4 linked regions of the Caenorhabditis elegans genome follow. The protein of the gene in region 1 interacts with the protein of each later gene in a pairwise test. Each region holds a gene or a part of one and is shown on either strand. Other genes may lie near its edges.

Evidence for each region.
Region 2: the proteins of spdl-1 (region 1) and F59C12.3 interact in a two-hybrid assay, tested with the Caenorhabditis elegans proteins (one large-scale study listed by BioGRID).
Region 3: the proteins of spdl-1 (region 1) and aspm-1 interact in a two-hybrid assay, tested with the Caenorhabditis elegans proteins (one large-scale study listed by BioGRID).
Region 4: the proteins of spdl-1 (region 1) and tcc-1 interact in a two-hybrid assay, tested with the Caenorhabditis elegans proteins (one large-scale study listed by BioGRID).

What each region holds. Positions count from the first base shown.
Region 1 is NC_003280.10:7,778,448-7,784,504, forward strand, and holds spdl-1 (Spindly-like protein spdl-1), read left to right. Parts: upstream 1-3,118; 5' UTR 3,119-3,139; coding exon 3,140-3,175; intron 3,176-3,223; coding exon 3,224-3,466; intron 3,467-3,512; coding exon 3,513-3,836; intron 3,837-3,884; coding exon 3,885-4,517; intron 4,518-4,562; coding exon 4,563-4,766; 3' UTR 4,767-4,904; downstream 4,905-6,057. Other genes in the region: snpc-1.1 (snRNA-activating protein complex subunit 1), read right to left, coding at 949-1,144, 1,198-1,482, 1,529-1,610, 1,672-1,990, 2,035-2,244, 2,290-2,358, 2,404-2,481, 2,532-2,616 and 1 more; skr-17 (Skp1-related protein), read left to right, coding at 5,431-5,468, 5,518-6,022. UniProt on the Caenorhabditis elegans protein: Transient kinetochore component required for chromosome and spindle pole alignment and chromosome segregation during mitosis.
Region 2 is NC_003284.9:16,602,106-16,612,227, reverse strand, and holds F59C12.3 (Angiomotin_C domain-containing protein), read left to right. Parts: upstream 1-2,703; 5' UTR 2,704-2,708; coding exon 2,709-2,871; intron 2,872-2,921; coding exon 2,922-3,056; intron 3,057-3,123; coding exon 3,124-3,181; intron 3,182-3,351; exon of another isoform or gene 3,352-3,576; intron 3,577-3,688; coding exon 3,689-3,794; intron 3,795-3,838; coding exon 3,839-3,943; intron 3,944-3,988; coding exon 3,989-4,104; intron 4,105-4,861; coding exon 4,862-4,959; intron 4,960-5,078; coding exon 5,079-5,221; intron 5,222-6,172; coding exon 6,173-6,358; intron 6,359-6,860; coding exon 6,861-6,970; intron 6,971-7,071; coding exon 7,072-7,174; intron 7,175-7,425; exon of another isoform or gene 7,426-7,518; intron 7,519-7,724; coding exon 7,725-7,785; intron 7,786-7,919; coding exon 7,920-8,010; intron 8,011-8,076; coding exon 8,077-8,136; intron 8,137-8,413; coding exon 8,414-8,525; 3' UTR 8,526-8,837; downstream 8,838-10,122. Other genes in the region: F59C12.4 (uncharacterized protein), read left to right, coding at 9,606-9,755.
Region 3 is NC_003279.8:9,220,599-9,229,796, forward strand, and holds aspm-1 (Calponin-homology (CH) domain-containing protein), read right to left. Parts: upstream 5,793-9,198; 5' UTR 5,786-5,792; coding exon 5,725-5,785; intron 5,674-5,724; coding exon 4,971-5,673; intron 4,907-4,970; coding exon 4,583-4,906; intron 4,479-4,582; coding exon 3,842-4,478; intron 3,796-3,841; coding exon 2,842-3,795; intron 2,483-2,841; coding exon 2,112-2,482; intron 2,064-2,111; coding exon 1,990-2,063; intron 1,846-1,989; coding exon 1,409-1,845; 3' UTR 1,152-1,408; downstream 1-1,151. Other genes in the region: lim-9 (Protein espinas), read right to left, coding at 60-130; lipt-1 (BPL/LPL catalytic domain-containing protein), read left to right, coding at 6,393-6,488, 6,538-6,774, 6,826-6,944, 6,994-7,194, 7,239-7,455; gip-2 (Gamma-tubulin interacting protein 2), read left to right, coding at 7,565-7,622, 7,670-7,812, 8,337-8,612, 8,746-9,015.
Region 4 is NC_003283.11:17,852,164-17,859,054, reverse strand, and holds the start of tcc-1 (Ribosome-binding protein 1), read left to right. Parts: upstream 1-3,065; 5' UTR 3,066-3,068; coding exon 3,069-3,188; intron 3,189-4,039; coding exon 4,040-4,596; intron 4,597-5,452; coding exon 5,453-6,052; intron 6,053-6,891.

The sequences.
Region 1 (6,057 bases):
ACACGATTAAAAATATGTCAACAAAAACAAGTGTACGCCTTTAAAGAGTACAGTAGTTTCAGCAGTTTGCTGATTTCTTAGTTTTTTATCGTTTCCTGTTTTTTAAGCTTCAATTTTTAATAAACAGTGAGTGTGAAAACTAAGAAAAATTGAACAACGGTACTCCTTAAAACCGCACTCCTCTCCTTTCACTGAAAATTATTGGCCGTTTCGAGACCGGGTACCGTAATTTTTAAACAGCGAAATTTAGCATTTAGGTATTTGCTCTATTATTCAACTTTGAAAATTCTGTTGTTTTCTCAAAACAAAATTTTTTTTTTGTAGTTTTTATAACATATTAAATATTTTCTGATATCTGCAGTCATATAAGTTATTTGGTGCAAGAGTAACTGAGAAAATACGGATGCGTTCTAGAAAAAAAGGATAAGTAAGAAAGTCGTAGATAGTTACTATTTGATAGTATCTCAAGAAAGAATGGGAAACTAAGCAAGACCTTGAACTAATCGTCATTTGAAGAGAACTTTAGCATAGTACGTTTTCAAACGAAAACCACAATTTCTCAATACTGCCTTCCCATCACAAACGAAAATTTTATCCTATAGGATTAAAACCAATTTTCAGTAGAACTACAACAAGATTCTGAAAAGTGCACTCAATGCTTTCACGAATGGGCTACAGCACAAGATGATAACTGTATGAAATAATCATGTAATGCACGATATCAGGCCATTTCAATTGGTCTTTTGCGGCGATTTATCACTGGTGATAATTGGAAGTTGGACAGATAAAAGTATAAGATTGAAAAGATTGAACCAACAGAGATTAATAAAATAACAAAAGTCGGAGATGATAGGCAACTCAGCAGCAAATTTAATTTAATTTTCAAAAAAAAAATTCATGTAGTATAATTTTCATTAAAAAAAATGGTTAGCAAGGAAAATGAAATGATTATGTTTCTTCGTCTTCAATAACTTCCAGCTTAATTTGACTTGTCAACTTTTTCAAATGTTTATCCGTAGCCTCGACTTGTCCATGCCATGCGTGCAGTTTGTTGGCCCATTCATCACTGATTCGAGGTTTCACTTCAACTACGCTGGCCGATTTTCTGTTCTTCTTGTTCGCAGGCGATGTGAATGATTCGTCACTGAATAATTTAATAATTTTTAATTGAAGAAAAAAACAAAAATCTTCACTTACATTTGGGAAGCAGTTATCGGAGCAGAAGTTTGTGGGATTTGTTCTCGTTTCACTTCAACCAATTTCGCATTTGCACGTTTTGGTGCCCGAATTCTTGCAACTCCCGATGTTCCCTGCTTGCCTACTTTACCGCCCAATGAATCTTCAGGTATTTCAGGCTTTATTCTGGCAGCATACTCATTTCGTAGAACTTCTTCAGCCAATGCATTATCGTCTAATAACTCTTCAGGATTAACTGTTGTCGTTTTTCTGCGTCGCCGTTGTCTTACAGGGCGATCAATCGGGCTGTAAAAATAGGTTATTATTTTGGGGTTAAACTGTAATTGCTTACATTGGAACCTGAGCATCATTATCATCCAAACATTCCTGGGCGATGTCACCAAACGTTCTTGCGGTAAGATGTTTGAAGTTTTCTGCAAAAGTTGAACGCTGACTTTTGAAAAAAAAAAACATATTTTCGTGTAATAAATGTACCTTCCATGTTTGGATCAAGATGCCTTCTTTGTCTAGTGTGTTTTAGTCCTTCAGCATATGCTTTACTTCTCAAAGTTGATCTGCTTGAACCAGCTGTTTCCTCTGGAGCGCTACTAATTTCTGGATTTGTTGGAGAACTTTCGAACTGTTCTTTATATTTTTCGACAATGCCCTTGATTTCGTGTAATGGTGATTTGAGCCCCGTTAGAGTATCACTTAGTCCAAGTTTTTGCTTAGCCTCTGTGTAAACTCCGTGAATAAATGATAATTCCGTCATAATATCAGAACTGAGCATTTTCGTAACACTGGAAAACGGCTCCTGAAACTGTTTATGAAAAAATTCCAATAATTTAACTTACTTACAACTGGAATTTTGTTAAAATAGGGCAACTCTTCCTCGGCAAGGTATTTTTTGTGGGTTGCCGGATCATATGTCGACTGAAACACTTTAATTCTAAACGCTTTCTTCAGAATAAGCATTTTGAGAGCCGCAATTGGTTCAAGAAGTTTTTCGACTTCTAAAGATTTTTGAAATTCGAGAAGCTCTTCGAATTGTACCGCAGTGACCGGAATCTGAATTAAATTTTTTAAAACTAAATTAAACTTAGAATTAATCACCTGACAGACATGATCAACTGGCTGCAAATTGTACAACGCATAGCAAACATAAACTCCGAATAGCCTCTCCTGAAAATATAACATTTCAGACTTATTTTTACTTCTATTTCAAACCTTGAATGCCCTGAATGCTCCAACTTCATTCACTTTTCCGAAATACATTGCTGCGTGTTGTAACAGGTATTCAGTAAACTGAAAGCCGGAATATTATAATAGACTAAATAAAATCAAAATAAAGCTACCTCTAAGCATTCGGCAGGATTTAATCGATAATGAAGAATGGTCTCAAAATGCATATCCCGAAAAACATCAGCAAAGTCTCGAATTCTTAATTAATCAAGATTTTCCATCAAATAATACATTTTCTAACTATACCTGTTGGATCCCATAGATATAAACTTGTTGCACAATAAATGAAGATCTTGTTTAACTCCAGTTCCCATAAATGGCGTGGGAATACCTCCAGAAGCCATTGCGACTCGTTTTTTCCTTGAATCTTCAGAAATAAATCCGAAAATAATTGACGAAAATAAAAACATGCAAGTGCGCTCTATCGTGAACAACCAATTCTCGGCGGGAACCAGCGGTATTCAACGCATTTCAAAATGAGTTGCGCCTCAATTTACCTAAAAATATTGTTTTTCAATCGTTTTGATATAATTTAGCTCAAAATATTCCCATAAAATTAGTTTAAATATATTCGCAATCAATTTTACGCTTTATTAAAACATCAAAAGCTATAGATCTGCGTGAAACGTTCTTATAAATCGTGTTGCCGTGAAAAATATTCTACTGATCGTTTTCTATCGAAACATTTTCATGTTTTCAGAAGAATCGAACTTCAATCAGTATGCCTGACGACGAGGAGAAGCTCCAATTACTTGCTGTAACGTTTTATCATTTCATCTATTACCAACTAAACCTAATATTTCAGGACGTTGAGAGGCTCAAGAAAATTCTCCGTCAAAAAGATGAAATGCTCGAGGAGATGGAAGACGATCTCAAAAATCAGGGAAAACCTTGTTCTTCCAAACTTTCACTCGAAGAACGTGCACAAGAATTGAGTGAACAACTTCGCGATCTTCATGTTGAGATGGACGGAAAAAACGCCACAATTCTTGATCGGGACGCTCTCATCGATTCACTGCGTAGTGAGATCGACAAACTCGAAAAAATTGTAGGTTTTCATCATTGTGGGCAACATTAATATATTGAATTCTCAGAATAAGGAGTTTGCCAACGGATCAGTGATTCCCGAACATGATGATTCCAATTCCTTCGGAGAATCTGAAATGCTTCGTATTAGCGAAGATTGTCAGAAATACAAAGAGACGGCGACTGCTCTTTACGAACGAAACGCCGAACTCGAAAAAGAAGCGGTCAACTTGAAAGATGAAATTGAGTCGATGATGGATCATATTCGGGACCTCAAAAATCATATGGAGACGCGTGATGAGGAAATTGCCAGATTGGAAGGAGAGCTTTTTGATGAGAGAAACTCCCATGAAGGAAAATTAGCGGCACGCGGAAATTCAATGTTTTCTGAGGTAGGTTAAAAAATATCAATTAACTGCATTTTTTTTAATATTCTTCAGGTTATTGATGCCGAGCGGAAGGTTGAAGAAGACCTGAAAGTTCTTCATGGAGAGAATCGAGCACTGAAAGGGATGGTAAAACGTCTTCGAATGGAAGTAGAAGAAGTCGAAGAAAGACTTCGGTCATCCACAAAAAGATTCAACGTTACCCGAATGACCACAAGTGATATTGATGTCAAAGAGATGCGTCGTCTCAGAGACAGAGTTTGTCACCTGGAAACGGAAAGGGTTCATTTGTGGGAAAGAATGTTCATTAAAATGAGGTCAATTCCAAAACGCGAAGTGGGAGCGTTGATTACCGGCTACTTCAAGTCGTTCGAATTGTCAATTGCGAGCGTGAAAGGAGGTTTTGACGGTTTGATGAAGGACAACGAAAAGTACGTGACAATTATTCGTGGATTGCAACAGGAAGTAGAAAATCTCAAAGCGGACATTGTGCAACTACAATTCGACAATAAATGTGCTCACAGAAAAGCTGCACCAGTTGTCAATAAGGATTTCGAGCACCCGCTTCTTGCTGCTCCTCTGAAAACTCTTAACAATGGACGACCATCATTCTTCATTAAACCGAAAAACGTGGAACCCATGCCTCAATTAGGGCATTCATTATCCAGTATTGCCGTTACGCCACAGGTAGATAAAAGTGCAACTTTTCACTATAAATAATTATTTTTCCAGAAACCAGCAGCTAAATTCACCACTCGTTCCTCCATCAAAGATGATACTTCAGAATGGGCAGAACGTCGTATGAAAGCTCAAGCTGAAAAGAAATTGGCGACTCCGACGCCGCGTTACAACTATATCAAACTGTCCGAGCCCGTTCCAAAATTCAAACCGGCTGTTCTTCAAATGCCATCAACCTCAGAAACAAAGGAAAACTGAGTAAACATCATGTTCGTAGTCATCTCGTATTCATATAAAACCGCCTGTATTGATCTCGTCCCCTCTATTCACCAAGTTTTGTCGATTATTCTACAATGTTTCCTATTTAATGCATGTCAAATAAAATTATTTTTATTATAACGCTCATTCTTAGATTGTTGATGTTCAAGAACTTGATAGAGCCGCTGGCGGGAGTGCAGTGGAGCGCGAAACCCTATCGATATTACACGATCACTTATTGATTTATATATTTTTAATATTTATTATTGTAAATATGGGGTAGAATATAGAAAAATATTTTCCAGATTTTCTCTTCCCTACAATCTTCGGAGATCTCGTATGGATATGCTTTCGATATAGGTTCAGTTCTTACTACTAGTAACATTTGAGAGAGCTTAAAATTTAAAAATTGTAAACCGTTCGAATTTGTTCTGGTGTGGGGTTCGCATGATATTGATCGTTTTTAATATTTACGATGATTTTTTGTGTTGTGCGAGGGTGTTTTAAAATTTGAATTTGCCGCCGAATGAAGTAGAACAAGAACGCAAATGCGCTCTGTGGCGAATGGTGTTCGACAAAAAGTTTTTAAGATCATTTTCTCAGCAAAATTTCGTTTCCTTTCTAATTTTTCCATTTCAGACATCACATTTCGTCCGGAAAGCAGATGCCGAAGAAGAACAATACAAAACGAGCACCACCAAGGTATTTTTATAACATTTTGATAAAAATAATTATCTAATATTTCGTTTAGTGTACCAAAGCCGTCCGGTCCGCCACCTCGATTACTTCAACTGACATCCTCAGATGGACATTTGTTGCAGGGAGACATCCGGGCCCTCCTCCTCTCAAGTACACTTGCTGCAACCATCAGAGAGCTAGGATATGACAAGGAATACTGTGCTGAATTAAAACCGGTACCTGTGAACAATGTTGTTGGATTTACATTAAAATTACTGATTGAATGGTGCGATAAACACAAAGAAGATGATCCTGCAATTGCACTGGCCGAGAAGGACAAGAAAAATATTTGCATTCCTTCCTGGGATAGACATTTTCTCAGTAGACTGCCAATGTCAAATTTGTTCGATCTGATTACTGCTGCATATCATTTGGACGTTACCGGACTTATCAATTACGGCTGCAAAACAGTTGCCAATTCTGCGAAAGGAAAAAATGCCGAGGAAATGCGAGAACTTTTCGGAATACCTGAACCATGGGAACAACCATCTACATCGACTGCTACATGGGATGATTAATTTTCTGTTACTATCTTCGATCTTCAAATATTTCA
Region 2 (10,122 bases), on another chromosome or scaffold:
AAACTTGAAACACTTTTTGGTTGGAAATAGATTCGGAGAGAAATTGATTAGGAACTTGTTAATTGAGGATACTAAGGATATTTAACAGAAATTCACCAATTTTCTGAAAATTTGACATTACAGTGGTTTTTCTCTGTTATGAAAAGTTGGCTATATCGTAACTTTTTGTACTTTGTGAAATATTTAAATTCAAACAGGAGATGATAAATCTAAAAAGGAAAAAGATGAAACATTATGTTGAAATTCTTAAGACAGTGTTCATTAATTTGACACGCCAAAACAGCCGAGGCTATCAATTTTTGGTGACTGAATTTTTTCGACCTTGTGTGCCGCCACCGCTCGGGAACCAGAAACTGTGAGTGCTAGACAGTTGAGGGTTTGTTTTCCTTCGCATCAAGTTCACGTGACCCGGTGAGGTGGAAGAGAATTGGGAATGAGAAATCTATACTGTTTTTCACACGGAGAAGAAAACATGAAGAGAAACTTTTGAATAACGAGAAAAATGTTTTTCTTTTTCAAAATTGAAAATAGAAGACAAAAAACAAACACGCTGAGAGAAAAGAGGCAATTAATAAAAGAAAAAACGACCAGTAGAAAAAGCAGGTGTTATTAGGCTCCGGGAGAGAGAAAGGGTCAAGCGGGAAGTGTTGGTAGTGTGGTCCAGCGCGGAACAAGATCGCGAATGCGTGTAGCAATTGGACAGATGGGTCGTCGAGATAGTACGCGTTGCACAGAGATGCCGATGGTGAGCGTAGGGCCCAGCGCACTGCCTCCCACCTATCGTTGATCAATCGATTTCTTACTCGCGTCTCGAGAGGGGCTACTCAATCAACACATTTCTAACACTTGACTAAAAGTTTTACATGGTTTAACTCTTTTCTTTTTTGTTGATAATCTTTTATCAATAGATTTCAAACTTATATGCTATTCATAGTTCATTATTGAAGCTTCTAGTTAATTATTATGACATTGAAATATTTTTTTAATTTGCTATCACAAAGAAAGAAACCAATTGTCACATAGAATCAAAAAATTGGCATTTTCTATTCAATAACCCATATATTAAATCAATAATCACTAACGCATAAAATGATCCTAAAATACTTTTGATGATTTTCAAATGATTTGTTCAAGGAAACTTAAAGCAATTTATGTGAAAATTCGATAAAACTCAGTATCAAAGAAAAAATAAAATAAAACCAAATAAAACTAAATAAAACTAGGTAAAACTAAGTAAGTAAGTAAAATCGAAAAAGATTCTAAAATATTTAAAAAAATCAGAAGTCAAAAATCCAATTCTACAAGATGATAAACCGACGAATTAATTTTTGTTCGTAATTCCTAGAACTACTGTGTTTTTCATTGCAGTATTTCTTGCAATACCATTTTTTGACTGTTTATATTTGAAATTCAATATACAAAACTGGAATTTACGTAGGATTCAAACAAAAATGTGCACATTTAGAAACAAAATTATACGAGCATTTTGAAGACGCTGGGAATCATAGAAGATCCATGAAAAATACCATGGGGTGCAAAATTGATACAAAACATACCATACCTAAAATTATTAAACGAAAAACTACACATTAAATATCAAAATAGTTTTAAAAAAATTCGTCATATAAAACATATTCTCTTTCCTCATATTTTTGTTTCGAAGTTTTTGTTTCTATTGTTTATGTTTTCGGCTAGCTTCATCATATTTTGCTTTTCATCCTGCCCATTTGTTGTTCAGTACACATGATTCAAAAACAAAAAAACTGGAAAAAACAGCAAAAACATAAGTTTCTTCATTTTGGATTTCGACCACGTCAGAGATTAACACGGATAAGCCGCGATAATCAGAACTAAACTAAACGATTTTGGAAAGAAGGTCTTCCACACGAACGCGTGTAATTATATAATTAGGAACTTGCATTTCGGGTCAGGTCACTTGAAACCTTTTAGTGTAGTTTAATCGAAACTGCGTTTGACCGCCCGAGACGGGTTTGTGTTAGTTTTTTGTTGTTGAGTATTTGTGACTTATACCAGAAATTGTCACTTTTAGTTTGGTCTTACAGTTTAGAGTATTGGTATATTATCAAATTAGATTTAATTCAATTTTAAACTAATGAAAATGTTTCTACATTGTATGTATTAGCTCACGAAGTGTCTTCTTATCATTCGTAAAATTTGGGAACATGTTGCACTGGCAACAATATTCATGGTTTAGTTTTGTTTAATTTTTTTCCAGAATACATATAATTTTGTATCATTTTTTCATGTATTCTTGTGGCGTCAATGTGTCTCATTTTGGTTTGATCTACGTAGACCTACAAAAAATGCAGGAGTTCAGACGCAGAGTTCTCAACTGATTTTGCACGGTTAAGAACGCGCTGGCGTCAATTTTTTTTCGATTGAAAAACTCCCGCATTTTTTGTAGATGAAACCGTAATGCCTGACACCGTGGGCCTGACACCACGTTTGTATTTGCATTCAAAATATTCATTCATTCAAGATGTGAAGTTAAAATTCATGTTAGTATTAGCTTCATGTAGTTTAGTTGAAAAATGACCACGTGAGAATTACGTTATTGATTAAATATTTCTAGGTATGATTGCCATATTAGCACCCAAATAAATGTCTAATTTTTCTCACCTATTTTTTTCTCGTTCTACATTCAATCTTGATGATTCACTATTTAATCGAAACTAATCTCAGGGTGAATGAATCGAGGGGACGTGATAGATCCGCGCTCGTCGGATGGCACATCATCGGATCAGCGACGAGTGCATGCAGTGCCACCGACACCCATGTATCAGGGAGAGACGAACATTTTAGACTCACTTCTAAAGGAGGCTCAGTTGAATCCAAGTCTGAAAGCGAGTGGTGAGCAATATCGAACCAGGGGTCCTGCAATTCGAAAAACTATTTTTCAGTGATGAACCACCAGGCTCAAACAAAAAGCAAGGATGACGACGAGAAGCGGTTGCAGAAGATGCTCGAAAAATATCAGCTTGAAATGAACATGCAAAGAGCAAACAGCCGGAAGGATTTACATGGAAGTGCAGGACGTGCGTGTGACATTTTTTGTTTTTTTTCTGTTTTTGGTGGATTGATGAAAATAGTATATTATTTCAGCATCACCTATCAGTCATTCTCAGCCATGTCTTATTGCGAGTGGATCAAGATCGTCAGAGTAAGTATTGGTTTTATGATGTTTTTGAAACGTTATACGGTAAACTGTAAAATTTTTTTTGAATGTATCAATAACTTTATCCACAGTGTTTCCCACTATGCATTAATTTCAGCCACACTTTTTAAATAAGGAAATTTGTAGCATTTTTTTTTTCATTTTATAAAATTATAAAAATCGTAGAAAACATTTTGGTGAATTTAATAAGTAGTAAGTGACGAATACTGAAAAATTGCTAGATTTCTCTCTTTTTTTTTTGTGAATAAAAAATTCAAAAATTATAACAAGAGTTTCATTTTTATATTTAATCACTATATTCGTATGGAAAAACTTTTAAACAACTTCCGCACAGGTTTTTAGCTAAACGATTATCTAAAATTAAAACTTCCTACTTTCAAGTTGCATTTCAAAAAACAAACAAACTTTTTTGACAAACTCAACATTTTTCCTGAGATATTTTTTTTACAAAAAAAAGCTTGACCTTCTTCTTTTAAACATTAATAATTTCAGTATTCCCCCAAATGAATCAAAAATGAGCACATCTGCCTATCAGCGTAGGGCATCTGCATCTGGAGATCAAGCACTTGACGTCCCCACATTGAGCCAAACTAACAGAGTAAGAACTTCAACAAGCAACAGCAAAACAAACAATTATTTTAGGGAGTATCCAGCAACCAGAAGCTCATTCAAATTCTCCGCGAGGAGAATGTGCACTTGAAAAAAGAGCTCGACGCTTTCAAGCGCAGTCTTTCAAAACTACAACAGGTTTGTTGGAAGTTTCAAAATAGTGGGAAACCTAAATGCTTGCAGATTGAATACTCATATGCTCGACTGGAAAAAGAATACGAATACTTGGCAAATGAACGAAAAAAGCAAGAAAATTTAGAGCTGAACGTGATTATTCAATTGGAAAAGTCTGTAAAAAAGTAAGTTGGTTGAAAATCTTGTCGGTAAAAAGAGACAACAATTTTCTGATATTTATATCTAATGAAGGCAATATAAAAAAGTTTCCATTTAAAAATGAATTGAAAACTATTTCACAAAATTCACGAGCAGCACTTTTTTGTTGTTTGGGGCAAACTAGACAAACATTGAACACAACTAATATCATTGAAGTTCACAACAATAATGATTTGATTAAACAAACTTGGGCAAAATACTCTTCGCATTTGGCTCTTGCAACTTGCCCAAGTTTGGCCCAAAAAATCTTAACTTGGCTTAGAAGTTGGCTAAACTTGAGAAAAAGGATTGAGACTGCACCAGAGTTTAACCAAAGCCGAACTCTACTCTTACCCTACTTTAAACCCAACTCTTGCCAAACTTTGGCCCAAACTTTTCTTGTTTCGTTTCAAACTTTGGTAGAAGTCTGGCGAGAGTTGGGTGAAACTTGTGTTGAACTTTGGTGTAATTTTTGCCGAAGTCTTGCCTAACTTTTGGCCAAGTTGCGCCAATCCATGTTGATATTTTGTAGGACAAAGTTGGGCAAGAAGCCAGAACCAAATGCCGAGTAAGCAAAAAAAAGCTTATTTCATACAAAGTTTTACACGGGCATATTTTTCTGAAATTTTACAATATTTTTATTTTAAAAAGTTTATCCAAAAAAAAAACTGACAAGCGGCAATATATCAAACAAACATCCAATCAACAGGAAAATCCATTATCTTCTAAAAATCTTAGTTTCAGACTTACCATCGAAAGAGACGACTTGCAAATGCGGCTGGAAAAAGCAAGTACTGAACCAACGATGGTGGCGAACCTGATGTTAAACGAAATTCAGCAGAGTGAGGAGAAAAAAAGAAATAAATTTGATACAATAGAACTGGAAACAGAGAAGCAGAATGAGAAATATGAAAAAAAAAACGAATAAAATACTTATACAATTGATTTTTTTCCGATTCAGGGCAAGAACTCTTCGCATGCAAAGAGCGGCAAAAAATGGAGATTGAGGCACAGAATCAGACGTTGGAGGAGCAACGAAATCATATTGCAATGCTTGAGAAGGCACTCGCCAATTCACAAGAGAGATTGGCGAAGCGGGAAAAAGTATGGAATATTTGTGGGAGAATGTGCTGAGCGGAATGGATAACATTTCCAATTTATTTATGGGAAAATGGGGGGAGAACAAAAGTATAGGACCACAACAGTGTACTTTTGATAAAAGTGAACAGTTGTTTGGGTATTTTGTGAATATGGAGAATTTCTGAACATATAGACTAAAAATGTTTTCAAATGAACGAAATTCGTAATGAAACTTCTCCAAAAATTTAAAATTTTTTTTTCCTGACTGTTAGCTAAAATCTCTAATTTAGAATATTTTACCGTGTCGCAGTAGTCGGAAATTGAAGTTTTTGAATTATGATCTCACTTCGTTGATTATGGTACATTTAGAGCCCATTGGTGGCCAGGTTTGGTCACCTTTGGCCACTTTTTCGGTTTTTAAGGATTTTGATCAACATGACTTCATAACGAGACAACCCAAAAATAAATAAAAAATTGTCTCACTAGCCGGAAATCAATTTTTACTTGAAATAGATTTTTAACAGTTGTCTCATTTTTTTTGTTTTTGATGAGACACTCCAATTGATATAATAATGAATAAAAGTGAAACGCGAAAAAAATTTGCAAACTGACGTGGGAAAATAAGAAATGAAAAAAAACTTCCATGTGATACAAACAACAATTGAAAACGTGCTGTGTTTAGAAACATTCAGAACTTGTCTATCAATTTTTTTTCTATTTTCAAGGTAATTTTAAAGGCACTCAAATAGTTATGTACCATTACTTTTGCATTCATATTCAAAAAATATTGCGAAATTCAAATTTTAATTTAACTTTGCAATATACCTTGCACTTCCGGACTTCTCTAAAAAATGTTTTTTGCTTTCTTAACTTACATTAAAAATATTTTTTAAAGCTCCCAAATCAAAACTGTTTTCTTGATAGTACGTTATCTTTTTTTTGAAATTAAAATTCAATAAGAAACACTTTTTCTAGAAATGCGAAGAATTGTCCGCTGTAGTGGCACACGCTGATGAGCTGCGAAAGCAACTAAACGAAGTATGGGAAGAACAACATCGGAGGGATCAGATGGTTGAGTCGGAACGGGCTCAGTGGGAAATGGAGAAGACTCAGCTAAGAATGCAATTGAACAAAGACACATCACTCACTGGAAGTCTTAAGGTTTGTCTCGAAACAGGGAGAGAAATAGTAGTAAATGAAAGTAATGTGGGGTGTGCTAGGAAAAGGGGGGGGGGGGGCGACAACATTTGAACCGGTTCCCGATTATGGGGTTAAATGTCCGGTAATGAAAGTTTTATTGATATAGATCAGCACCGGTCTCAGTATTTTTTTTCTGAAAATTAGATGGGACGCCTATAGGTTAGTACATTTGAAAACGTTTGCAGAGGGTCTAAAGAGCGTCATCATTTTTCTAATATATACCATTAAAAAATGGAGAATTAAAAATTTTTCTAGCATCTCATAATTTTTTTACTGGAAATTAAAATTATAAACTATTATTATTAGTTTATCTTCTATAACAATCTTATCCTAGATATTGCCGTCTAAGCCGTCTTTGTACATAGTAGTACATAAGCCCTGAAATAGAACATGCCAGAACATCTATAGAATTACTCATGGAATTACTAACCACTACTCATTTGCATAATCATCAATTTTGCAGCGAACCACTACTCCCGGCAGCACAGAGGATCTTATTCGAATGCGAAAGAGCATTCAATCAAAAGACGACAAGATTCAGCAACTCGAAAGAATGGTGAACGATTTGCGAAAGTTTGTTTTTTTTTCTTTCTCTCTTCTTTTATTCTCTTCGTTTGTTGAAGAACTGAGCCGAAAACGGAAATGGAGAGCAGAATTGAAAAAGCTTTTTTTAGAACTCACGGTGACAAAACTGAGCAACGGAAGTCAACTCTTGCAACAATAACTGACAACTTTGAAACCCAGGTGGACAAATTGAAAGAGGAGAGTTATGAAAAGGTGAGGCAAGAACTGCTGCTAAATTTTTTATACAAAATTTAAAACAAGTGAAAACATTTATAAGGGATCTTTTCAAAAATAGAGACGTTACTTTTCAAGGTTACGTGTTTTCTCACAGAAAATGTTTTCAATAAATTGTTTAAAGTTTCCCAGTTGCCCCTTATACATATTAACATAATTTATTGTTACATATACTATATAGCACTAAATTTTCGGTCATAAACCCAGTTTATAAAAGCCTCAACAACCGCTCTCTTTCGTGTCCTCGGTAGTATAGTGGTGAGTATCCGCGTCTGTCACATGCGAGACCCGGGTTCAATTCCCGGCCGGGGAGAATCTTTTTGCCTAATAACTTTGGGAGTTTAATTCAAGAGAGTAATTTTAGATTGGTATATTTAATTATCGCGCCTAGAATAAATAAAAATGTTTCTGATATTTGATATACTAGAAATGAGCTTTATTTCTATTATAGAGAACATCAGAAAACACACTTTGAAATGAGCTCACAAATTACAACGGGCATATTCGATGAATAATTGATAAATTTTAGGATCTGATCATCAACGAACTGAGGTCGGAGCGGGACAAATATGCAGCAATGGTAGATAAAAGTGAGTATATGAAGCCCTAGTCGGGAAAAAAGAAAGGCAAAGGGGGAAGCGTCGACTGCATTTCTTTTGGCATGTGAAAAGAGCACTCTTCTTCCTCTCTCCTTTTTTTTCTCATTTCTTTTCTTTTTTTCCAGACAGCGGAGACGAGGCACTGAGTAGAATGGAGGAAATTAGACAGAAAATACAGGAAAGGAAGAAAAAAGGTCGAATGGGCGTGACTGGAGGGTAAGACGCAGTTTTATTAATTGCTCAAATAAATCAAATATAATTTCCTTAATTCCCATATTCCAGGCTATCAGAACATGCAAGAACTTCATCGGGCTCGTTGATGCAAAATTCTCTTCATCGGAGGTGAGACAAAAAATTATGAGACCGTTGTTTTTTCTTCCTAGGAAACTTTGCAAAAAGTACTCAAAATTTGAGTTTTCTGAACGAAAGCAAAACTACAGTGAATCTTGAACTTTTCTCTAATTGTAAGTTCCTTTTTAAGTTAGTTTTTGAGTATAAAATTTTCAGTTGAATACTTTCTAGAAACACACATAGGTCAAGCTGAAAATACTAGCTCCAGAATCTATTACGATTCGATAAACATCTTCAAAAGTAACAAACTATACAAAAAAAGTTGCAGATCATCATCTGGATCATCATTCGACCCTGTACCGACTGCTCCAATTCCTTACAATATGTTCAAAAATAGTAACAATAACAAGTCAATACTTGCGGATAACCAATTTTCTTGAATATTCCTCATGCACTAGTCATCGAAATTCTATTTATTATTTACAAACACGCTACCAACAACACACTTTCCTTCTTTGTTACTTTCTGTTACATGCATAATTCAATTTATTTTTCAATTCAAGTTTCCAAAGTCCATTCCTCTTAATACAATTTGTATGTAGTTTTGTTCTTTTAATTTTTAGCCAGTTTAGATGATGTACTTGTATTTTTTCCATCAGCTTCATAAGCTCATTCAAAAAGGCCATGTGTTTTGCTAGTTGCAATATCGTTTTAATAATTGTGATTGAAATGTTTCAAATGAAAATTATTTTCTAACCTTATAAAAATTATCAGATATACTTTTTGCTATATAGAAACTGAAAAAATGACCAGATGTGAACGAAAAGGGCAATGCTAATCGGTTTTAAAAAAATCCAGAAGGATTTCGAAGATGTAATGAAAATATTTTATTGAAAAACAAAACTGATTTGAAATATTTGAATATGTTCAGATATCAGAATTAGTCGAAATTCTGACACTTAAATTTTTGTTATCTAATTGGAAGTTCAGTTTTAATTTAAAAAAGATAGAACATGTTAAAACGGAATAGTGTTTTTAGTTTTTTACAGACTTCTGACATATCAAACAAGTAAAACATGTTTTTTTGATGGAAAAAAAAACTCTTAGCAATTTTTCTGGCTGCAATTTCCTCCAATTCTTTTTTGAACTTTCACATTATACTTTTGAATAAGCAAAATTACCCTTTAACTTAAAAAGTCTGAAAATAAACTAGAAAGAACATCAGTCTGATAAACTTTGGCTGTTCAAATCATTTTGAAACTACCATCACGTGAAAGAGCAGGGTTGATAACATACTTTCCGAAATTTTCGAATAAATCCATGTACAACAAAAAAAGTTATGAACTTCGACCCCTGGAAGTTATTTCTCTTCTTAATATGTAAATCATCACGTGAACTTAATCAGCTATGTTCTATTGTTCTTTCGGCGGGAGGATGGCCGAGTGGATCAAGGCGGCGGTCTTGATTCGGCCACCCGGGGGGTTAATGGTTCGACCCCCACACCCCTAGCCACCCTGTCAATGCCAGAAACACCGGCATTGACAGGCGAAGGAGCAGCTCGTGGATCATTTCACAAACAACCACGGCGGCGAACTTGGGCCGAGAAGGTCAATGAGGATCAGGCCAACTGGAGATCGACAAGCGAGCTGAAATGGATGAATGATAAATGATGTATGTATGACTAAAAATGAATGAATAAAAAAAAAGAAAAAAATACAATTTTGGAATTTTTTGGAAACCAAAAGGCAGACAAAAAACTTTTACATTTATCATTTTCCGTGAAACACAACGCGAAACTTTTGGACTGGATATGCTTACCGTAATATCATCTCAAATATTTCCATAAAATTGAATCTGTATTTTACTTGTGTTCTTCAAACGAAATTAACAGTTGCAAAATTTATATAAATATATTTATTGATCAAAAAGTAATGTGAATATGAGATCAACCCTGTAGTTTTGAAACTGCAAAGCGAAGGTAACATAAGTTAATTGTAAGCAAAACGGTTAGACAAAGGAATGAGCACTTTTGAAGAT
Region 3 (9,198 bases), on another chromosome or scaffold:
TTTTTTTCAGAGATCTATCCATAACTATCAATTTTCCATTTTGTGAAAAAAAAACTTACGAATCTAATTGATAGGCAAGAAGATATTTGAATGCATTTGACAATTCTCTTGGACCAACATTGTCAGACATATTACAGAGAGGGGGCCAAGTTGAAAAGAGTTCTACTTCTGTTAAGTACTTATTATATTAGTTCAAGTGTCTATTTGTATAGAATAAAATAAAAGAAAAAGAAAAATTTTGAAGATTTTCTACTTCTATTCCAAATGATCTTCTGACCATTTTCTTGAATACGAAAATCGGGAAAATGCGAGCACAATATCGGCCAAATTATATGCGTCTTTGACTTATTCTCGTGATTTTTCAACCAAACAATACCTCAAAAACTAATAATTAAAAAACTGTGTAAAGACAAAACATTGATAATATTGTCTAAATTGCTGCCAAATTGTTATTACGTAGACGTGCAATGGTCTCGCCATTCGAACAACGGGTTACTGTAACTCGTATTAATGTACGGGCCGCTATTGCACAATTATTTTTTCTAAATAAATCTTGTCAGTAATTTCTATTTTTGAAAATGATGATACAACTTTTAGTGACCCGTAAACCGACATGAGTTACAGAAACTCGTTTCCCACGTGGCGAGACCCATACGCGCCTTTAGAATTCAAAAACATGTGTTGCAAGAGAACATATACAAATCTATTCCTGTAGATGTCAGCCGCTTCAACTTTTTTTCCAGAGGAAAGCAAAATCTAGACAAAGTTATAATGAAAATCCTGTCTGGTAAGTTTTTTAAAATTACTACTTAAGTAGCTACTTTTGATTTTTTTTTGTTGTTGAAAAATCACCAACTTTTGGCCGGCACTGCATATAGCTGGAATTAATAAAAACTAATGAACAATATTTTAAAAATTCGGAAAAACGAGTACTACTTCTCTCAAACTTTCGAAAAAAACCATAAAAATTTTGAGTAGGCGGAGCAGGAGCCGAATGACGTGACAAAGTACAAAAAAGAGCAGAAAAAGATGGTCGGAGGGTTACTGTGTAATGCGAACGGAGAGTAAGACGAGTAACTATTTGCAAATCGGATGAGCCATCTGCTACGCAACAAGTGCAAAACTCAAAAATTTTAAAGAGGGAACAGAGAAAAATAGCAGACTTCTTGAATTTCTAAAAGTAGCTAAATTCATCATACTCTAAAAAAAACGGTAGTATTTAAAATCAAGTTTTTACTTCACAACAGACTTTAAGAAACAAATATGAAATACCAAAAAATCCAAATAAGCATCAGGTTGACTGATCTTATTGGTAAATATTCACATAAAAATAATTAAACCGTGTGTATTTTTTCACGATATGATACACAAAACGGTGGGATGAATTTAATATTTAACAGAGACTAATTTAGAGCATATCTTCGCATATGCTTTCCAATCTGACCAATTTATTCCGACACTCCTGATCCTTGACTTTTTTGAGCGACTGCTTGATTGAGTAGCTTGATGAAGAAAAACTCGATTGCTTTTTGTCTGGGAATCTTCTAGCAATTGAAGTCAAGGTGTTAATGATAGGAATAAACAATTCCTTGACTTCCGAGTGCTTCAGCATCAGTAGCATCAAGCGAGGCGACAAAATCTTCAAGTGAGGGAGAATATGCGAATTGGTGACTTCTTCGGGAATCTTCGTGAATAATTTTTCGAGAACATTCAATAATGGATGAAGAATGCTCGTATAAGAGAATCCTCGATCCGCCACAATCAAAACATCAGTGATCGACTTGATGCCATTCAGTTCGACGACAAGCTTTTCCAAAAGTGATGGAACAAGATCGGTGACTCGGTCTGCAAAATATGAACATTTCTATGTGTTGTATGGTTTTGCAATTGACGAAGAAAATCATCCATGGCGGCATATTCATAAACTTTTGGTTTCTATGACTTTCAGATCAAAAAGCAGCTTCTTCGTAATTTTCATTTGCGACATACCGATGACAGTTGCAGCAACATGAACGACGTGAAGGTTATCATTTGTGAGTCCATGAAGAGCGCATTTCTTTAGCCTGAAAATCAATTTTTTTAAATATATTTAAAAAAAAAAGAGTTCTCACTTTGCCTCGACTGATTTATCCTCCATTTCTTCTATACCAATTTGCTCGTCTTCTTGCGCCAATATGTGATTGTATTGGATCATGCGATTGCGAATATTGCTAATTTCCATTTGGAATTTACGCCGTGCAATGAAACCACGTATCATTTTCTGAATGACAACAGCTGCCTTCTTTTTATTCTCAAGAATTTGAGTCTCATCATTTTGCAATTGAGATTTCTGATCCAATTGCATTGAATTTTCGAAGAGTTGACTGTCGTCACCGTGAAGGATAGCAACATCGTGCCCAGCATCTGATCTACTGTCGGACGAATCCTCCCCGCCATCACGAACAGCTAACGCATTTCTCTCGATGTTTCCCAGTTTTCTCGCCTGAAACTTTTAACCATTTTTAACCAGGCCCTGACCACTTTTTAGAGATATCCGTTTTTACAGCTAATTTTACTGGTTTTTCTCGGATTTTTTTGTGCTTCCATTTGAGACGCCAGATGAGAAAAGAAAATCCATTCAAATTTTCCAGGAAAACGAATATCTCGGCGGGCCTTATCAGTCGCTTCTTTTATTGTTACAAAATTTTTAAAAAACCCATTAAAAAATTTAGAAAAATGTTCAATTTTTTACAGTTATATGTGGTCATTATGATCTGTTCTCTCATTTAAAGCAAAAAATGTTTCGTTTTTTGACTGTTGAGTCCACCATTAAATAATCTGTCAAACTTGATATAGACTCACAATTTCCTGTTGCTTTCTCTTGAGTTCTCTGGTTTGTCTCAAGATCCTTCTAAGTTCAGGAGTGTTGGCATCGTCCTCAATAGACACACTAAGGTTATTCGTCTTGACGAAGTTCTTCTGATCTTCTGATAATGACTGGAAAAGCATCTCTAAACGCTCCTGTTCTTCTGTCATTCTGAATTCAACCAATGGGCTTCCGCTTGTCTGCGTAGGATCCATAGGAGATTTTGAAGGTAGATCTTCTTGCGTCTTGCCCTCTTTGATTTCAAAAGTTTCTAAGTTCTCAATTTTCTGACCATCATAGCTTGCTTCATTGTTCCCTTCTAGTGCAACCGGAGAATCTGATGCTTCAAGAACTACGACGCCGACATCTTCAGCTTTAGGGACATGCATCTCTTTGCCAGTTTCAGAGTCTTGAAGAAATATGGCAGATTGGGAAGCGGAAGGAATAGAAGAAAGAGTTTCTAATGGGATGTCTGAAGGTGGACTATCCAAGTTCTCAGCGGAAGGAGCAACAGTGTCTTTGTCTTGGTTTTCATCATCTTCATCTTGTTCTCTGAATACTTCCGCATTGTGCTCCATTCTGACAACGGTTCTCTTTTTCAATGTACTTGGTACGACCGTTTCGTTATTTTCCGAATCATCCTCTTCCTCGATAACCATCGCAATTGTTTTTCTTGTGAATGTACCTCTCAGTGGAGTTTTCTGCATCTTGTTCATGCTTTCAATTGAATCACGTGAAACAGTAAACGTCGCATCGTTGAAGGTAGAATCCATTGATTGGCGAGACGATGGGATTTGTGATAGAGATGGTCTTTCAGTCAGAATATTATTCCGTGGAGTCCTCGGTACTGTGAAAGTGACATTATTAGAGAATGGAGAAACACTTCGGTTTCGAGGAATTGATGAGTCGGCAAGAAGTTGTTGTACAATGAAATACAGCTTGGGAGTATTCTGAAAGTGAATTATAATATAAATAACTTTATTTTTTGATGAATACCTTTCTTTGCACGTAGGCCTTCCACATTCGTTGAATCTTGGTCGCTTTCTCATTTAGATCTTGAATCATACCCAGTCGTTCCAGAAACATTTTTACGAAAAGAGCCATGTTCTGATCAAGTCCTCGCTGAATACAAAGCTCCAACTCGGCAACTGAAACAACTTTCTCCCACAGACTGAGTCCATCATAGTCCTGAATCGGTGTTGAATTTGTTCCGAAAGTGGTCCACAACTTGGCCAGAAGGCACCCATCGGAGAGTGAATCCAAGTCCATGACTTCGATTTCCATCTGTCTTCCGTAAATCTTGCACATTTTTAATACTTCAGAAGACATGTCATCGTGGACAGCAGATCGCCGCTTTTTCGGAGTTCTTTCTTCAGAAACTCTCGTCACCTTGATTCTTTGTTCCTTGGCCACACGAACTCCGATAATAGCCCACAAAATAGACAAAATCTCGTCTTTCTTTCCGCCAACGATTGATTCGGCGTTAACATTATCCGTTGGAACACCCAAAGAAGACATCTCCTGGAGTACAATCTTCACGTTTCCAATTTTGCGGATGCGGTCGCCTGCTGGATCACGTAACTTCAACAGAATTTGACCATGCGGCATCTCTCCGACAGTTTCCAACAGCTTTCTGAAAAATAGGTTATGATCGGTGGAAATAGGGACAGTGATAACATTTGTTGTTGAATGAGGAAAAGCTCGTGTAATTTATAAGAAATCTTTCTAGAAACTCACGCCAAAATTAGACCATCCGAGAAATCTGAAAATCCTTTCGCTTGGTAGTCGTAATTTTCAATGAATGATTGTCGGTAAGTCGGAATAAAACCGACTTTTGCAAACGCTTTTTTGAAAGTAGCAGAGCTTCCAGTCAACAATTCCTTCGTCAGTTCGGAGAACACATCGTCGAGACAATTGAAATGAGAGGACTTCGTGAAGATTCTCGTCAGATTCGGGATAACTCGATGAGTGTGTGCCGTTTCAATCAAGAACATCAGCTTCATCGAGACGGACAGAAAATGCTTGTGTAGAGCTTCTTTGCCAGCCTCAGTGATGATCGGTCTGCAAAAATTTGATTAGGCATAATTTTAACGAACTCGTTCATCCTCTGAAATCAGCAACTTACTTTCCAGAACCTTGTGCAAATTTCTTGTTCTTTAGCATCGTCGGATTTGAGAAAACTAGATCGAGGAAAAACTGAGAAAGTTTTTTCATTAAATGCTTCGGTTGAGCGTCAATTCTCGTGTTAAAGATTGCTTCAAGAGCAGTTTTCAGCCAAGCAGGATGGAATGATAGAAATGTGTGAAGAAGAGTTGTTTGGAGGCCTATGTCATTATATACGGCATGTTCTTTTCGGATTGCGACGTTGTTTTTGGACAGAAGATCCTTGATGCTTGCATCCATTCCTGAATCGTCTAGAAGCTGCTTGCACTTTTTCTTCACAACTTCTGGATCATTTTTCTCAAAAATCCGTTGATATCTCCTGCGTGCATTTTCCTGTGTATTTTCCACTTCTGACGTATCTGATCTTTTCTTCAACATTTTTTGGATATTTCTGCAGGCTTCTGCTTTCGACTCTCCTAGATCCATCTCTTCAGACACATCCAATTCCATCATTGTGTTGCACCACGTGGCGAGTGCAATAATTTGCTTGTTGGCTTTCTCATCATATGATAGAATCGGGGAATCTGATACAGAAGAGCTGATTGAAGGATTGAGAGGAGTTCGCATATTCATTGAAGTCGGACTCGACTCCAAAAAGGCTCGCTCGGTTGCTCTCAAATCGATCTTCTTTGTGTTCGATTTGACTTGATCAAGAAGGCGTTTCTCTGAAAGAGGAAGAAAATAAATAATGAGATAAAGTATAAATATCTTGTTACCGTGTCGATTTGCTAATCGTTTGAGCATTGCCTCTTTTTTATCCTCAACGTTATTATCCATTTTGATTCTGAAAAATACAAAAAATAAAGACGAATAAATCAGGAAGGAAGACACAGCGATATTAGTTTCAATGCCGAGTCCAAAACGCGAAAAAGTCCCGATGTTGTTAGTTTTTTGTCAGTTTTCAGTGCAATTGTCGAACAAAGAAGACAATTTGGGGACTTTTACGCGTTTTGGACGCGGTACAAATGGCCACCTAAAACGGAGGAAAAAAACGTTTTGGGGATAAATCCGGAATTCGCGCCGCGTTCAGGTTGGGTACTGTAATCGTGATAAGACCATTTCTTTGAACTAAGAAGTGTGCCTTTAAACTGCTACTGTGCATTTTTATAATTCACACAAAAATTATATTTTAAAAAAGATTTTAAGGTGACGATTTTATAGTAGAAAAGCGTTAAACAGTTTTCAGGTAGCTTTCGGAAATTTAGATCAAACAAAAATCAATGAAAAAAAAGTAAAATTTATGTTTTGAACGCTCGCGCCACAATGTCATAAATGGAGCGCAATTACTGAATGTCTGCGTCTCCTTAATGCTAGCAATCTCTTCTTCTCAAATCTTGCAAATAAACAGTTTTCTTACCTTTTCCTAATTTATTTTTCTTGTTAAATGTGTTCTATATCACGCGGAAAATTGTCCACAGTTCTGAAATCCACGTCAAGCTGCATTTTCGAAAATCTTGCGTATGAGGAGCATATTTTCAGGGTCAGTTCAGCAGTAATTTCAGTGCCTTTGCTATAGTTTTTGATTTCAGACTCACAATGTCGCTCAAAACGGGGAAATCCTGCTCATGTGGAGTAATCGACCGGCTGTAGTCATCGGAAGACATCAAAATCCGTGGATTGAAGTCAACATACCATATGCTAACAAAAATAATATTCAAATTGTCCGAAGGCACAGTGGAGGAGGCACTGTTTATCATGATCTAGGAAATCTGAATATTTCACTTTTAACAACACACGCACAACACTGTCGGCCAAAAAACTTGAAGGTATTAATATCATTTTTCAAAATAATAAAAATATCATTTTATTATTTCCAGTTCATTTCGGATGCTCTAAATCAACAATTTTCTGTTAAAATCGTTCCAAACAAGCGTGATGACATGGAACTACATCCAGGAGAACGGAAATGCTCAGGAACAGCTGCAAGAATTGCGCGGTATTTTTAAAAAAAATATTTTAAACACTTGTTATGTGAATAATTTAAGAGGTCAAGCCTATCACCATCTAACACTCCTCGTCGGTGCGGATCTTCAAGTATTATCAAAATCTTTGAAATCTCCATGGAGAGATAAAATCGAATCAAATGCTACAAGAAGCGTAAGAGCTCCGGCTGTTGGATTTCTGAAACAAGATGATGCCAATGCAAATGTCGAACAATCAAAATTAGCCATTGTTGAAGCTTATAGGTGAACGGAGCAACTAAAAACTTCCAATCATTAAAAAATTTCAGAAAACTGTTCGAAGAATCACATATAAAAACTGTGAATGTTGCAGAGGAAGTGAAGAAAAATGCAGAAATATCGAAAATCTTTGATGAGTTGAAAGCCTGGAAATGGATTTATGGAAAAAGCCCGAAATTTCAATATTCCCGCGAAAATAAGTCCATAATTGAAGTGAAAGATGGACTCGTGTTAGACACAAATCAACAATTCTCGCCGGATCTTTAGTCATTTCTTTTTATTTTAATTATTTTCTAGTCGTTATTTGATTTTCCGTGTATTTTCCCTTGTTCTCTTGCTCACAGTAATTCCGTTTAAGTAAAATTTAAATTTTTAGATGATGCGAACTGCTCACAAGGATAGAGAGCCGTGGAGGGATATTCGCCGTAGTTTGTGTAAGATTTGAAAAAGCAAAGTTTTTTGTTAATTTCGTATCTTTTAGTGAGCAAATGGCAAGGAGTACGTGTCTGTGATGAACCATCACCATGGTATATGTCCATTCCAACACCATTCAGTCAATTCCATAATGTTTTACCAGAAGAACAAGAGGAAATGGTTTTCACTGAGCTCAAGCTATTTCTAGTCGTAAGTTGGATTTTAAATATACTGTCGGAACAAAACAAGTAACCAGTTAATTTTGCAAGGTCTGGTTTTGCAAGACTGCGGCGCGGTTCGATGATGTAGATTTACGAAGGGTATTGTACTACACCTGGACAAGTGTGAATTCATTTTTTCGCAGGATTTTCGCTTGTTCTTTTTTATTTAACATTCGAAATATCTTTTATTCATTATGTTTCAAGTAAAAGTCGATGTATTCATTTTTGAAACCGACAGGAAGTTTTTCAACATTAATTATATCGGATTTTCTCTGAAATATTAAAACAAAAGTTGATTTTAATTTTAAATGTTAGCCAAAAAATTAGCAAGGGTCGTCAAAAACTGTAAAAGTATACCAAAAACACACACACACACTCTTGTCCGTGTGTGGTACAATTTCCTCCGTAAATCGACAGACATCAAACCGGGCTGCATTAAACAATTTTCAATTTTGCTACGGCTTTTTGCTCTTTCCACAGTGTCCCCTTTTCAAAAAGTCAAAAATATTTCAGGGAAATCAAACGGAAAACATTCGAATCGACGAATACGACAAACACGATCTTCCCATCTCAATTCTTGCAAATATCTCATTTGATCCATTCATTCGTTCAGAACTTGAACGATTTCATGATATTCTTGTGACAGTTGCTACAATTAAAATTTGTTGTTATGCAATCACTCATGATTCTGTCACCTTTTCTTCAATTAGCTCAGCTGTGGCCTCTACTATTGAGAAGAAAGTCAACGGATTCATTACCAAAATTTGCACAAAGTTGAGCGGAAGTACGGTATGTTTAGATATAATTTTATTGTTGGAAATACATTAAAAATTATTTGATGTTCTATATGCTAAAATTAGAAGAAATAGGAAAACTATAACTTTTTAGTGTTATTTAAAATTTAATTTAAATAAAATTACAGGAAGCAAATCAACAAATGAATCAGTTGCTCCGTGAAATGCACACAATTCACGAATCGTTGAATTTCTACAATGGAATCGTCAAATCCATTTATTTGGATCAACTAATCGGTGGCCAAGTGTTAAGCCTGCTCGACTCGAAACGTCGACACGTGTTCTCGGGAAATGTTGTTCAAAATTTGGATGATGTTTTTCAGGCGGGATGGAAGGTTTTTGCAAGAAGCATTGGAAGATTAGTCTGCAAGTTCGAGGCAGATCACATGGATTATGAGGTTTTTAAAAAAACTAGTTTTTTTAATTTTTCGTCAAAATACCAACAAAAAAACTGAAAATATGCCTAGTTTAGAAGCTTCTGGAAAGTTTTGCAATTTTTAAATATATTTTTTAAAAATTGTGTTTTTTTTCCGTAAAATATACATTTTTCAAAAAGCTCTGAATTACTCTAAAACATCGAA
Region 4 (6,891 bases), on another chromosome or scaffold:
AATTCCCGGTTTTTTCAGCTTTCCATTGGATTTTTTGCCGGATTTTCAGATAATTCAAGCTGTATTTTCAGCGATTTTTTCGAAATTGCCACCTTTTTTCCAGATTTTAAGGTTTTTTCTGAGGTTTTTGCAATTTTCTCGCAATTTCTTGGATTTCTGTCGATGTGCCAGCGTTTTCCTTCGAATTTGCACGATTTTGTCGATTTTTAGAGATTTTTCTCCAATTTTCAGCGTTTTTCATTGGTTTTTGAGAAAATCCTGCTATTTTTAATGATTTTTCAGTTGTTTCAGCAGATTTTAGGATTTTCCAGCGACTTTAACTGAATTTTCGCTCGATTATTGGCATTTTGAAGCTTTTCCTTCCGATTTGGCACTTTTTTCGGCGATTTCTCGAAAATTCGCCCATTTTCGCAAAAGTTCAAGGTTTTCCGGGCATTTTCTCAAGTTTCTCCGATTTATCTGTGAAATCTGCTCTGAAAACCAGAAATGAGCACAAAAACTCGATTTTCATATTTTCGAAGTAGTTTCTTCCGATTTGGCACATTTTTCCGGGGATTTTCTCAAAAATTCCCACATTTTCCAATGTTTTTTCGAAGTTTTGAAATTTCCCGCTTTGAAAATCCAGAAATAAGCCCAAAAGGAGCTCCACGGAGCCCGGTTTCATCAGAAAATTCGAAAATCAGCTGAAAAAAGGTCAGAATTTCAGTAAAACGCTCTATGGAGCCCGAGTATTTGCTCATTAAACGCTTCTGAATAAACAAATAAACATGAAGACGTAAAGCCAGACGGAGCTCCAACACGCACGGAGCAACTAATTTCGTTTGCAGTTCTTCTTCTTCTTCTTCACAAAAGACGCAGACACTTGCACACTGAAGACACAAGAGACACCAGACACTCTGTCCGTTCTCTGAGTCTCTGTGGCTTCCCGTGATCTCTCGTTGGCGCCCAGCGCCTGTCATTGGCGCTGCCCACGAATAGATAGTGTACGTGGAGTGGAGAGTCACCAGACAGAGCAATAGGGAATGTCCAGAAGCATCGGGAGGGATGAGAGGACGTGGCTGCAGTGCCCCCTGTTTCTCTGTGTCTCTGCGGTATTTCCCGTACTTTTTTTGGGGGGTTTCTTCTCCTTTGCAGCAGATCCCGAAATTCCTCGAATTTCGCATTTCCGCCGCCGCCCACTTTTTTCCAGCTTTTCCAGCAGCGATCTGGAATTTTTGAAGCTTTGACGTCCGTATTTTGAGATTTTGTTCCAAGAAATTTAGTTTTTTGAACTGAAAATCGAGGAAATCGACCGGTTTTGGGCCAGGTTTCTCTGAAAATTGGTGCCTAACCAGGGTTTCTAACTGACTTTAATGTTGCCCAGTTTTGGGATTTTTTTGGTCGGTAAAACCAAATTTTTTTTCCTAGAAAATTAATCTTATGGAAAAAAAAAACTGGATTTTACCTGAAATTTTCGAATTTACTGACTGTTTTAGTCTATTTTTTCGAGTGTTTCAAAGCAAAATTCCCACTGACACCGCCGGTAGGCAGGCAAGGCTTCAGAGAATGATGCCTGCCTGAAATCTGCCTGCCTTTCGCCTCTTTGCTGCATTTTGACATGAGTTTTCAAATTTTCTCATTTCTATCAATTTGTTAAAAAATCAAATTACACGTAACACGTATTGAGGCGAGAGTCAGGCGGAGTCGGTCGCCTCAAAGACAGGCAGGTAGGCCTACGTTCAAGGCCTACACACCAGGGGTGCCAGGCTGCCCATTTCGGTTTGATCTACACAAAAATGCGGGAGAGTTTGAGACGCGAGTTTTCAACCGATTTTGCATGGTTAAGAACGTGCTGACGTCACATTTTTTGTTGGGCAAAAAATTCCCGCATTTTTTGTAGATCAAACCGTAATGGGACAACCTGGGGACCACGTGGGCCTACAGAAGTGTGTTCCTAAACGACAAAAAGCCTACAATTTCTCTTCCTATTAGGTTTCTCAAGTATCAAAGTTTTTCATTGATTAACACAGGGATACACCCCCTCTCTTGATGATTTTCTATTTGACCTCGATATTTCGGAATTTCGGGTGTACTTTGTCGTTCCCCGCGCGCGGGCTGCGAAAACTTTTTTTTTAATATAAAAGTTGTCTCCACCGCGGCCCGCGCAATTGTCTTTACCCCAACGGAAATGCAATTATTATTGTCATTTTTATCACCACCATTTCAACTTTGCCGATCTCTGTGTGAAATTCTCAGTTGCCGTCCCCGAAAGTAAAGAAAAGTGCTCGAAATGCCACTTTTTTTTTTTTGGAAGAATTTTCAACTTTGAAATGGATTTTCCCGAAAAACTGGCATCTCAGCGAAGAAATTTCTCGGTTGTAGTGGAATTTTCTACTCAAAAACTCGATTTTTTTTTATTAAAAAATTCAAATTTCGAGGTATTTTAGTGGAATTTTCTATTGAAAACTCAATTTTTCACATTAAATCCCATATTTTTTCTTGGAAATTATCGATATTCAGCTTTAAAAATATGTGAAAAGTTGAAAAATGACTCCTTTGTCGATTTACGCAGCTCTTGTGTACTTCTCGAGGAGAAGAGAAGATTTGTACAGTTATAGTAAAAATGCGGCATTTTTGGATATTTTTACTAAAATTGTAACTCTTCTCCACGAGGAGTACACAAGAGCCGCGTAAATCGACACAGGAGTCATTTTTCAACTTTTCAGATATTTTAAAGCTGAAATATCGATAATTTTCAGAGAAGAAACATAGAAAATTCCACTAAAAACGAGAAATCCATTGAAAATAGCTCGAAATTCGGAATTTTTAATCGAAAAAAACGAGTTTTTGAGTAAAAAATCTCTATGAAAATGTGGGAAATTTGATATTTTCGAAATAAAATCGATTTTTCAGGGTTTTACACTGAAAAAGTGCCATTTTTTTCGAAAATTTCGAATTTTACACGTTTTCATAGAGATTTTTTACTCAAAAACTCGATTTTTTCGATTAAAAATTCCGAATTTCGATAATTTCTCCATTTTCCCACTTTTTTCTATAAAATTTCTAAAAATGCTAAATAATTTCAGCCAATGGACTCGTCATTCGTCGATCCATCAACAGCTCTCGGCATTCTCGGTGGTGTTGGTGTATTTGTGTTTGCAATTTATTATATGATATTCATGAATCGACAAGAGGATAATTTTGACAAGGTTCGGAACGATTTTCGTGGAAAAATTGAGATTTTTCACACGAATTCTGATCAGAAGAGTGAAATTTCAAGAGATTATCGACTTTTTTCGCTTAACAACCGGATTTTCCTTGACCTAAAATTGGCCTAAAACTTTTTTTTCCCCGCGAAAAAACCAGGAAAACTAAATTTTTACGAGAAAAGTGGATATTTTTCAGAGAATTCTGACTGAAAAGGCAATTTTCCTCGGATTTTCTCATCAAATTGACTGAAAATCTGCGAAAAATACCTTTTTGTGCCTGAAAATTGTTGAAAAAAATTAATTTTTATCAGAAAAACGGCATTTTCAGCAAACTTTTATTCTAAAAAAGACGATTTTTAACGAGGAATTCGATATTTTTTCCGAGAATTTTGACTTGAAATGAGCAAAATTGCTCTTTTTCACTTAAAAAAAACAATTTTCCTATCAAAAATTGGATTTTTATCGAAGTTTTCCCAAAAAAAGAAGGTTTTCGGTTCAAAATTGGCTTCTTTCGGTTTTTTAAGGCAAAAATGAACAAATTCAGGCCAAAAATGCCAATTTTCAGGTGTAAATTTAAAATTTCAACACAAAAATCGTCTTTTTGTTTTTTTCGATGAAATCTTCGCTGAAATTCGGTTTTCCTGATAAAAATTGGTTTAAAAAATGGGAATTTAGGCACAAAAATGTCGTTTTTTGGGGGAAATTCTGAATAAAATACGATTATATTTTCAAAAAAAAAAAACAAATATTCCAAGGAATTTCTCCAAAAAGAAGGATTTTTGTGTGCTGAAAATTGGCATTTTCAGTCAAAAAAAAAACTGTAAAAATCTATAAATTTTTCAAATTTTCAGGCTTACAACCGCGACGCATTGGCTCTTTTGACTGACAACAACGAGAAGAAGAAACAGCCAAAAAATAAGACAAAGAAGCAACAGCAAACGGGCAAAAAAGCACAAGATGCCGCTCCAGCTCCGGCTTCAGCTGCTCCAGCTGCTCCAAATGCTCCAACTCCAACGGCTCAGCAACAACCATCACCAAAAGCTTCTGCTGCTCCAATTCCAGAAAAACCGGAAATTCAAGTCCAAAAAGTGGAATCTACTCAGGCTTCTGCTCCAATTCCAGCTCCAGCAGCTCCAACAACTCAAAAATCGTCTCCAAAAGAGCGAAAATCGGTGAATTTGAAGGATTTGGATCAGAAAAAGGTGCTCAACAAGCTCTCCGGACTCCCAGAACTCGATGAAGCTTATATTCAATTCTTGGCTGGAGCATTCCGTGATTCTGATGCTCAGAAGAATAATTTGAGTCTGGAAGTTAAGGCTTTGAACAAGAAGATGACGGAATCTGCTGTGAAAATTGAGAAATTGAATAAAGAAAAGATGGCTGTGGAACAACGCGAGAAACACGAGCAGTATGTCGATTTTTTACGCGGAAAATTGAGAAAAATCGTGAAAATTGATGAAAATTGGTCTAAAAATGATAATTTTGTGCGAAAATTCAAGAATTTCGATGGAAAACGTGGAAAAATCACGAAATTTCATGAAAATTGGGCCAAGAATGATATTTTTTCGTCCGAAATTTAAAAATTCTGAACTAAAATTGCTGACCACGCATTTCTGACAAAAAAAGAGGCAATTTTCTCCAAAATTTGATGAAAAATCGTTTTCTCAGTCGAAATGCACCATAATTTAGTCAATTTTGACGGAAATTAGGCAAAATCGATTGAAAATTTCCAATTTCCCGCCGAAATTTGACTTTTCGACGATTTTTCGTTAGCAAACAGCTGAAAAACGACATTTTGGCCGTGAAAATTGTAGAATTTTGTTTTAAAAATTACTATTTTCAGCCTAAATTGTTGTACAACGGTAAAAACCCTAATTTATTCAAAAATTTAACTTTTCTGTCTTGAAAATCGGGCTGAGAACCGACAGTTTTACGCAAAAAAATGCTCCAAATTTGTGAAAAATCCCTAAAAACTTCTTAAAATTGAGCTCAAAGAGTCCGAGCAGGCATTCCTTTCAAAAAACGGTGAATTTTAAGAAATTCGCCAAAAATTACAAATTCCAGCAAAAAATTCAACTTTTGGTCTTAAAAATCGGCTAAAAAAACGCTGAAATTGCTGGAAAAATTTTCAATTTTCCGCTTAAAATCTCTCTAAAAACCTGCAATTTTTCAGTGCTCAACGCCAAAAAAAGCTCTAAAAATGTGAAAAAACCCAAAAAATTGCACTTTTGAGCCTAAAATCCGAATTTTCTCCTGTTTTTCAGAGCTCAACGCCAACAACTCTTGCAAAAAGTGGCTCAAAATCAGGCTCACGAATCAGAATTGGCTCGTCAAATTCAGGGAATTGAAGGAAAACTTCGTGTGAAAGAGCAAGAACTTGTTGCCGCAGGAAAAGCTGTCAAAAATAATGAAGAGCATGAGAAAGAGCTGAAGCTGTTGAGAAGCACGAATTCGAGTTTTTCAACAGAGCTGAAGACGATTCGAAAGGAACATGAAGCTCAGTTACAGAAGAAACAAGAAGAATGGAAGAAGCTACATGAGCAGTTGGAGCAAGAAAAGGAGAAGCTTATTTCGGAAAAAGAGCACGCAAAACAGACACATTTGAAGCTGGCGGCAGCTGTTGAAAATGTTGAAGCTGAACTTGAAAAGCAAGGAAAAGAATGGATTCAATTGAGCACACACAATCAAACATTGAAACAACACAATTTAGAGTTGGAAGCTGCTCTTTCAGTGGCAAAAGCTCGAGATCAAGACGGAGAAGCTCAGAAATGGACGATGGAAAAAGCTCAGATGATTGAGAATTATACGCGATTGGAGGCACTTATCGGGGAGCTCAATCGAGATATTTCAGAGTTTCACGAATAGTGAGTAGATGAACAATTTTCGAGGAAAATCTGAAAATTTTCAGAAAAACGGAAATTTATGTTAAAATCGAGAAAACAGGCAATTTTTGCGCTGAAAAACCGAAAATTTCGAGTTTTTCCACCCTATTTTTGGTCTAGAATCGGTCAAAAATGAGCAGCAAAGTCATGAAAAAACTGAATAATTTGAAAAAAAAATGCACGTTTTGACCAATATTTCACTGATTTTTACCTAAAAACTGCTGAAAAGGAGACAATTTTGGAGAAAATGTGAGAAAAAGCTCGAAATTCTACTCGATTATAGGAAACAGGCAATTTTAGTGCTGAAAATTTGAAAATTTTGTAATTTCTAACGGAAAGTGCTGATTTTCCCTTAAAAATCTATAAAATTGTGCTTTTTTGCAAAAAAATTCGTTTTTTCACTCAAAAATGGGCAATTTCAGTCGGAAATTGATTAATTTTGCTTTAAAAAAACTCGAGAAAAACTCAAATTTCCATTGAAAGCCAAAACTCGAAGAAAATCGACAAAAATGGCCGGATTTTTCTCAAATTTCGCCAAAAAAAAAGGCCAAATTTCTGTGGAAAATTGGCGATTTTCCACTATAAAATTGAAAAAATCGCAGAATTTCACCTGAAAAACTTTTTTTTTAACCAAAAATCCACGAAAAACCCGATTTTTTCCGTAAATTCTGGGAAAATCAACGGATTTCAATTGAAATGCATTTTTTTTTTCGATCAAAAACGATTTTTTTTTGAGCTGGAAAGGTGAAATATTGAGAAATTATCATTTTTTACCCGGAAAAAGGCAAAAAAGGCAAATTTTAAATTAAAAAAAAACTAAA